Cricetulus griseus: one gene and its partner. The protein of the gene in region 1 purifies or fractionates together with the protein of each later gene. This does not show direct contact. Links are inferred from orthologs where the notes say so. Each region holds a gene or a part of one and is shown on either strand. Other genes may lie near its edges.

The links.
Region 2: the proteins of Amfr (region 1) and Erlin1 purify together in Homo sapiens (affinity purification with mass spectrometry; 3 studies listed by BioGRID and IntAct, with this or other methods). This does not show direct contact. The link is inferred for Cricetulus griseus from reciprocal best matches to the Homo sapiens genes AMFR and ERLIN1.

What each region holds. Positions count from the first base shown.
Region 1 is NC_048596.1:170,204,017-170,208,445, reverse strand, and holds the start of Amfr (E3 ubiquitin-protein ligase AMFR), read left to right. Parts: upstream 1-1,450; 5' UTR 1,451-1,574; coding exon 1,575-1,829; intron 1,830-4,429. UniProt on the Homo sapiens protein: E3 ubiquitin-protein ligase that mediates the polyubiquitination of lysine and cysteine residues on target proteins, such as CD3D, CYP3A4, CFTR, INSIG1, SOAT2/ACAT2 and APOB for proteasomal degradation.
Region 2 is NC_048596.1:17,483,016-17,487,499, reverse strand, and holds the start of Erlin1 (erlin-1), read right to left. Parts: upstream 2,972-4,484; 5' UTR 2,873-2,971; intron 2,851-2,872; exon of another isoform or gene 2,604-2,850; coding exon of another isoform or gene 2,585-2,603; coding exon 2,472-2,584; intron 800-2,471; coding exon 718-799; intron 1-717. UniProt on the Homo sapiens protein: Component of the ERLIN1/ERLIN2 complex which mediates the endoplasmic reticulum-associated degradation (ERAD) of inositol 1,4,5-trisphosphate receptors (IP3Rs).

The DNA of each region.
Region 1 (4,429 bases):
AATTACTACAAAGTGACTTAAAAAAAAAAAAACAAAAAAACAAAAAACCAAAAAAACTATGAGCTACTAATTCTGTAAGAAGAAACAGAGCTGGGAGATGGTGGCGCATGCCTTTAATTCCAGTACTTGGGAGTCAGAGGCAGGTAGATCTCTGTGAGTTCGAGACCAGCATGGTCTACAAGAGCTAGTTCCAGAACAGCCTCCAAAGCTACACCGAGAAATTCTGTCTTGAAAACAAACAAAAAGAAAGAAAGAAAAAGAAAATTTGGAAAATTCACCAGCTACTTACAGAGCATACATTCAGGGATAGGCACTACCGAATGGTGGGGGGATATAATGACTAAAAAGAGTGTACCTCATGTTATTTTATGTACTTCGTATATAGCGATGTAACTCGATGTTTATAGTGTATAATTCGGTGTCTTTTAGGTGTATAACAGCAATTTTAGAACACCATCACTTCAGGAAACTAGTACCACAGTTTGTTCTTTAGCTGTCACCTCCAGTTCTCTCATGTTCCCCTTTTACTCGTCATTACTCTACATTCCATGTATTTGCCTTATCAGTGGGATCACGAAGTAGATACTTGTGTTTGGCTTACTCAGGCATGTCTTCAACGTTCTCTTATATTGTAGCATGTATCCGTACGTCATTTTCAAACACTATATTCCATTGGAGTTTTTCCCCTCTGGGTAAATTTGGTAATAATGCTACTGTCAACCTCTGTGTAGTTGTTTTTCGTGGGTGTATGTTTTCATTTCTTAGATATTTAAGCCAGGTAACTGTCGCGTCCAATGGTCACTCTTTGGTTTACCTTTGAGGAAGAGGCATTTTCCAGGATGTACCATTTACATTCTACTTGTAGCATAAGCGGGAACATATTTTTATTTCCTGTTAAACTGGCTCCGTTTTAAAAATAGTCTACTCGCAGTTATTTGTAAACAGACTTAAGACTTGGTTAAAGAAATGGTCAGGGCTTCTATTATTTCCTAAACATCGTGTTCCCCTTTAGGACACCATGGAAACTGCTAGTCCACAGGGTGGTGGGACCAAGGGTTTACCTGTTTTACCTGGGAGAACAAGGGACCAGAGGCCAGGGGCCTGCGTACCGCACCTTGCCGCCTGGGCACGCACACAGGCCTGCCGTCATTGCCCACGGGCCGGGCTCACTCTAGAGCCCGGCTGGGGCGCGTAGGCGGCGTCAGTGGGCCCAGGGTCGCCAAGGATGCTGCAGGGGGCCGGGACGCGGGGCACTAGGCCGGGTGCTGTGCCGGTAGGGCTGCGGCGCGCCCGCTGGGGGCGGGGGACGAAGGCCGCGCCCCCGCGCTCGTCCCGCCCGCGTCCCGCTAGGGGCGGCGGCCCGCCCCGATTCCGCGAGGCTCTTCCGCGCCGGCAGGGGCAGCAGCGGGAGCGGCGCGGGGCGGAGCGGCGCGAGCAGCCAGGAGCGGCCGGCCCGGCCCCGAGCGGCGGCGGCGGCAGCGACGCCAGAGCCCGTGGGCGCCGTTCGCGAGGCTGCCGCAGGCGCCTGGCCGCAGCGCGGGGAGCCCCGGGTGTCGGAGCTCGCCGCCGCCGCCATGCCGCTGCTCTTCCTCGAGCGCTTCCCGTGGCCCAGCCTCCGCACCTACACGGGCCTCAGCGGCCTGGCCTTGCTAGGCACCATCGTCAGCGCCTATCGCGCCCTCAGCCAGCCGGAGGCCGGGTCAGGCGAGCCGGAGCCGCTAACGGCCTCGCTGCAGCCCGAGGCGCTCGTGCCGCCGCGCTTGGCCGCCGGCGGTCCCCGGGCCCGCGACGTGGCCCAGTACCTGCTGTCGGACAGCCTGTTCGTGTGGGTGAGCGAGGCTGCGGGCCGGGCGCGGGGGCGGGCGGGAGAGCGAGCGGGGAAGCGGGGGGCCGCCATGTCACCCTTTATCTGCGGGGGGCGTGGCCCGGCCCTGACCCGGCTGAGGAGGCCGTGCGGCTGACCCTCGCGGGGGGCTGGAGGCCGAGAGGCGCTGCGAGCACGGCGAGCCGCGGAGGGATGGGGTCGAGCCGCCCGGAAGAAGGGCCGAGGGAAGGGCGGTCGGGCCGGGGACTCCAAGACAGCGGGGCGCGACCGGAGGCTGTGAGGAGCCGGGGCAAGTCGCGTCCAGCTCGGCGATGTTGTGGGCCGGTTCTCCATGAAGAAAGGGCCGAGAGTTTGGGGGACATTTTAAGCATTTGAACGGGTTGGGACAGTTATTCTCTGAACAAGACAACTTTGAAATGTTGCTATTTGGTAATGGATTACCCTCCTGTGGGCGCTATTTAACGAAGCAAACAAACCAGCTGCGTCCTTTTTTTTCTTATACCTGATGGTTGGTGACTGTTCCCTTTGATGACCGAAGGCAGCAAAACATTCTGTTCCGTGTGGCAGCGCCTCCTTGGAACGCGTTCTCTCCGTTTACGATCCATTTTAAAACAAGGTTTCTAGTTTTTCTGCCCGTGCGTGATTAGCAACGTTCACACGACACAAGTACTGTCTTCGTTTATTACATCATTTCAGGCTGGGCGGCTGCGAGAAAATGTTGGTTTCACCTTGCACTTGAATGCCTCTTCTATAAACCCTCAGAAAAAAGAAAAGTTGCTCCAGGATTTATAATTTGTCACTTGGATTTACTATGGCTTTTGGGATTCTTATCTCCTCCGTGTTCTTGTTTGGCGTTTACAGTAGGCTGTAAATGACTGAGGGGTTAATAGTCTACGTTTGTAGAATATATGCAACTCATTTGTTATAATTATTCCCACTGTGCTTCATCAGGAAGCAGTGGGATTTGTGAACTCCGGGGGCTGTAGATTAAGCCTCCTGGTCCTTTGATGAATAGTTTAATAGAAGACACTGAAGGGTGAGGTTCACATTTCCCTACTCCTGTGTAAAGATGAACTTGTCTTTACCAAAGATGGGGGGAAAGAATTCAGTTCACATCTTGTTTAATTTCAAATCTTTTTGCATTTGAGTCAAAGGGTAAACAATTTAGAAAAATTTGACGAATGCTTTTGACAAAAGTGAAGGCTATAGTGTAGTCCTTGATGCAGTTTTTAAGTCTGAGAAAAGCAGGACTTTGAAAGGAACCACTATTGAACCCATAGAACAGCCAATAGTATTGTTTAATGATTTTTTTTTTCCGTAAAAAAGTTTCTTCTTGCAAAACCCACGTTCAAATTCCAAGGTTAATACCACTTCATGAAACATTACCTAAGGCCTTTGGTTTTTCTGAGAATCGTTTTTAAGAATTTTTTTTTTCTTCGTACAGTCTTGTTGCATGCAAATTGATCAATTGATCGTCCCACCTCTCCCCCCAGAAGCCCTTATTTCTCACTTGAATTTCATGCAGTTTTTCTTCCATCTCTTCTGGAGTTTGGGCATGCTCATTTTGGTCGTACTGTGGTTGCCCAGTGCACTGAATTTTCTTTATCACCTAGTACTAACTTAGTGCTTTAGCAGTTTGCTTCAGCACTTCCCCCCCCCAAACCCCCACCTCCCCACCCCCGTGGTGTGACAGGTAACTACTGAGTGACTGTGTGGTGGGCCTTGAGCCCCACTCACAGGTATTTATATATTACCCCCCCCATAAAAACAAAAATGAAACACTGCCAAAGTCAAGCTAGATAGACAAGAAGTGGCCCTTTGTCAGTTGCAAATCTTACTAGTTATATTGTTTATTAGGCTCTCCAGAACTTGTCTTTGCAGAACACAGTTTAGAATTACAGAAAGTTTTGTATTAGCACACTCCGTTCAGACCTTCCAGAGATGCTATTCCCAACACTCTGGAAGACACAGCTGTGAAGAGCACTATCCCCCAACCCTCAAATGACTCATATGTAAATAAGGCAAAATATGATAGGTGATGATAGATACACAAAACCCAGTGGGGTTTGGAGGTAGGAGAAAGGAATGCTGTGTGGGGAAGGATTGACAGCAGGTGGTGTGGACACAGCCTTGGGAGAGTGAACTGGGGAAAACAGTATGTAAGGCTCAGTGTTGTTTGGGGAGCAGTGACCCCTGTCTTGGGCAACTTTTGTGACTTAAAAGGGAGACTGAGAGGGTGGGAAGGAGAGGTAACAGGAGGTAACCCTGCTGTGAGAAAGGTGAGAAACCTTTGAAGCTCTTACTGCTCCAGCTGTGGAGCCCAGGCTAACTTGTAGCTGATTTTAGCCATCTTTGGTTTGTCACTCCTCTGCCTTATTCGGTGAGAAAAGTAGGTGGAATCTCTGGTCAGGTCAGTTCTAAACTTAAAAATTTAAAGGACAGATTCTACAAGTTCATATTTCAAAGGCCAAAGGAAACAAAAGTGATAGCAGTTTCCCATTGCCAGCTTCTTGTGCTGACCTGAAGTGGGAACCTCTGAAAAATCCAGATGGTCTCAAGTCGTTTACACTGTTCATTTCTATGAATTATACATGTATACATGTG
Region 2 (4,484 bases), about 150 Mb from region 1:
TGATAACTCTTACTTAGCACAAAGCTGAAAATTTCAGTGATAATATTAATAAAATTGACTTTTCCTGTTTCCTGAAAAATCTGTAGCAGAATTCAAAGATTTATGATATCACTGAGTTTGCAAAATTAGTTAGAGCCTAATCCTATTTTGCCATCTTGTAATATCAAGCTTATTTATTAACTGTGTCCTATGGCCAAGATACTTTATGCAAGAACCAGATACTTAATTCAAATATCCTAAAATGTTAAAGTACCATATGCACTCAGGTTCCTCATAAATTTGTGTTTAATGCACCAGGCAAAAATGTGAGGCCCGAAAAGCTGTGTATAAAAATTCATTCCTCCATGTTAACAGTAGCCTAGGAGCCTGCCTCTATGGAAACCAAACAGTTCTAAACCAAGTAATTACTGATTTGTATTCCTAATTGTGTTCCCACTTCTTACTTTTATTTTGACTGAAGTAACAGAAAACCTGCTAACACCATTGTATAGATGGCAGGAGTAAGTCTTGATAAGCTGCCTAATGCATACTTTCAACTCACTTTAAGGCAAGAAGGTTTGAAATCAATGCTTGTGTTAGGACAGTTGTACTCTGAACTTTCACTCCACATTAAGTAAATAACAACATTTGCTTAAGCAATAAGGAAATCCATCTCCACCCACAAGTGTGGTAACTCCTGTCACACCTGTCTATCTGGAGTCCCTAGGAGTCACTCACCTGCACAGATCTGAACGTAGTAATGAAAGGCAACATGATATGATAGCCTGGTCCACTGGGGCTAGTTAGTAAGGCTCCGCCCCTGCAAAAAGATGTCGTGGTTGACAAAACTGCAAGTAAGAGAAATTCTCTTCCCAATTCTAAAATGCTATAGTAAACATTCACTGTTACTCATGTTACTAACCTAATGGCCTTACAACAGAGTTACTCAAGATTAACAACTGCTACTTAAAACATCCATCACACTTAAAAATGTGAAAATACATCAAAGTCAACTGCCAATATTGCACCTTGTTTCATAAGCTCCACCAACCACACCACTGGGTCTCTAGCACTGCTCTTGGGCCCACATCCTCTCCGGTAGGTCTTTAGCTTTCTGACAAATACTTATGGAAAAACTCTAATGACTCTCAATTAAGGTATCTTAATTGCACATAACAAGAGGCCAAGTCAAAACAATACATCTAATCACTAAGTTTTAAAAAAGAGGAAAGCAAATTTTCAAAGGAGGAAAATTTCTGAGGCTAATGACTCTTTTAATACATCATTAAAATCCTAGGACAGAGCTTCTGTCTGTATAAAGGAAACAAAAAAAAAAAAGCATGGAAAGATGGATGGCAAGAGGATTCAGAGTATAGGTGAGACACACATTTGTTCATCAGATTCTGGACCATGTGGACTTTGAAAACACCCCCTGGAAATGATGAAGAATAGGTGTTTAGGGACAAATACATCAAAAAAGCCCTATTTTATTCAATGAATAGTAAATTCACACATTGATCCTTGCCCTGAATGTACAAACAGGTTTGAAAGTCATAATTAAAAAGATAAACTGTTTCAGGTTCATCACTTATTTTGGGGGGAGTAATATCTTCATATATTCTCTTTGTGGTTCCCCTGTTGGAAGGAAAATGACAAGCTGGACAGAAATGTGGTCCAGGCTGGCACTTCTTATGCTAGAATTCCATCTGTTAAGACATACCACCAAAATCGTACTTTTTCTAGGACTCAGGAGGGATCTAAAAGTAGAAATACCAGTGTGTGTGGGGGGGGGGGGAGTGATGGAAATAAGCAGAAATCTGCTTTTTCTAAACAAACTCCTATCCCGATTTGTCCATACCAAAAGGAGCAGGTGGTAGTTCATACCGAAGAAAAGCTATGCCGAGTAAACCAGGCGGCAACACTGACCACACTCTTCCTCAGCTTGACTTGGAAAAAAGGGGGAAAGGTGGCCTATAAATGTGATTTTTGTCTCTTTTGACTTTAGGGACACACCAGTGTCATGTTCATTAAGATTTTGGGAGACATAACCAGATATACTGGGAGATTTTTAATGAAGGAAACAAAAAAAAAAAAAAAAAAAAAAGCCTTGAAGTCCAAAGCTACACAGAGAAATCCTGTCTCGAAAAGCAAAAAACAAAACAAAACAAAATAAAAAAACAACTTGAAGAAGGACCAGAGATCCCGAAAAGCATCATCTACAGTGGCAAAGCAAACACCTGTACAGTTGTTCGGACTACGAGTTAGAATTCAAGTCATCTAGGTTGCAGTGACAACTTCCTTCCCTCCTTAGGAGTCTCCAGCTCTGCACAGAACCAACTTGGCCCTAAGCTGCCCGGCACCCGAAGGTGCCCGGCCACAGGTGACTTGTGCCAGCAGCTGGGACGAAAGCCCTTCCGAGGGCTGCAGCGCTCGCTGCCCCGGGACCACCGGCGCGTGCGCGGCCGCCTCGGGGCGCTCGCTCGCTCGCTCACCTGTAGTACACGGCCAGGTGTCCCTCCTCGATCCTGTGGATGGCGGCGTAGAGGAGGACCACCACCAGCGCCGCCACCGCGGCCACCAGAACCCGGGCTTGAGTCATGTTCATCCTTGTCCCTCCTGGGCATGGGAAGCACAGGAGCCTCAGTGCCCTGAGTGACAGGCCGGTCCCCACCCTGCGAAGAGCCCGCGTCCGGTCGCGGGCTGAGGCGGGAAGCCCCGCGCGCCGGCCCCTGGCTCGCCCCTCGCCAGCCCCCGCGCCGCCGCCGCCGGCGGCCCCGGCTCGGCGCACGTCGTGACACCCCTGCCCCGGCTCCCCCGGCGGAGGACGGCTTCAACAGGGGACGGCCCTGGCCTCGGGCACCCGGGGAACCGCGACCCCTCAGCCGCGCCTCACCGGTCAGTGACGCATCGCCCCCGGCCGCACGTGCAGCCGCCTCCCGGCCCCGCCAACTGCTGCCAACAGCCGGCCCCGCCCACCTTCCCGGCACTGCGGCTGCGCGCGCGGGGACGCACGCGACGCAGCCCCCGCCCGCGACTCGCGAGACGGTGAGCGGGCGGGACAAAATTGGCCTAGGCGCACCCAGCGCGGTGCTTCCCAAAGCCTTAGTCGCGGGCGGTTGAAGTCGCTTGGCTGGCGTTGACCCCTGGGACCGGGGCTAGTGCTGGCGCTCCGGTCCCGAGGACTCAGCCCCTCAGAGTAGGGGTTGTCCCTTCATCCTTGTACGGTCTGTATCTAGCCTAACTGGCAAGGGACGCGCGTTCTTCAGCTGCACATCCCATCCTGCACTAAGGAAGCTGCCAGACCAGACTCGAGGAACGAGGGGTGTGCGTCCAGCGGAGGAATCTGTGTATTTAATCACTCAAGCTTGGGTTGAGTATTTTGTGCTACACCAGAGTGTTTTCTGAAGGCCACCCAGAAACAGGAACAGGAACAGAGTGGAGATCCGGATTGTCTTGTCAGGAGGCCAACGTGAACAGTGAAGGCTTGTTTTTCCGCGAAGGAAAAACGGTGGAGAGTATGGTAGGCTAGGCTAGAACCAGATTAAAGTCTGGGGTGCTCTTTTCTGCTGATAGAAGAACTGGATGGCAAGGAGATGGACTTTTTATTTGCTTGGGTGTTTTGCCTACATGCATGTCATCCCGTGTGCCTGGTGCCCTCAGCAGTCAGAAGAGGGCATCGGATCCCCAGGAACTGGAGCTAGAGAACTGCCACATGGGTGCTGGGAATCGAACCAGGGTCCTCTGGACCAGCAGCCTGGGCCCTTAGCCTGAGCCGTCTATCCAGATCCCTGAAACTTTTATCTCACTGCGAATTATTAAATTTCACACCATGTGGACCTAGTGAGACGGCTCAGTGGGTAAAGGTGTTTGAGGACATGCCTGATAACTTCATTATATCCCTAGATTCTACATAGAAGTGAAAAGTGGAGACCGACTCCATGAAGTCGTTCTCTGAGCTCATCACACAACAACAGACACAATAATAATAATTTGTATATAAAGTTTAGGGAAAAAACCCCACACCATGTGTATATGAACAAAGAAAAAGAAAAAGAAAAAAAAAGGGTAGTTTAGAGATGTATGAGCACGTGGGAAATAAAGTCATCCCAGTTCATTAAGGGCAGAAATGAGACAACTGGACAAGAGTGGAAGGATTTCTGAACTCCAGTGCAGGAAAATACCAGAAAGCAGTCTCACTGAGAGTGAAGAAAGACAGGAAGCTGGGAAACAAAGAACAGCAGGCCCAAGGTTATGGTGCTAACTAACCTCACTCCAGTCAAGTCCCATCAAAATGGACCTATGGCAAATCCTTGCACTGATGATTGTTTGTTTTTTCAAGACAGGGTTTCTCTGTGTAGCTTTGGAGCCTGTCCTGAACTTGCTGGAACTCTCTGTAGACCAGGCTGAACTTCAACTCAAAAAGATCCCCCAACCTCAGCCGCCAGTGCTAGGATTAAAAGCGTGCCACCACTACCTGTCCAACCAATGACTTTGATACTTAAAAA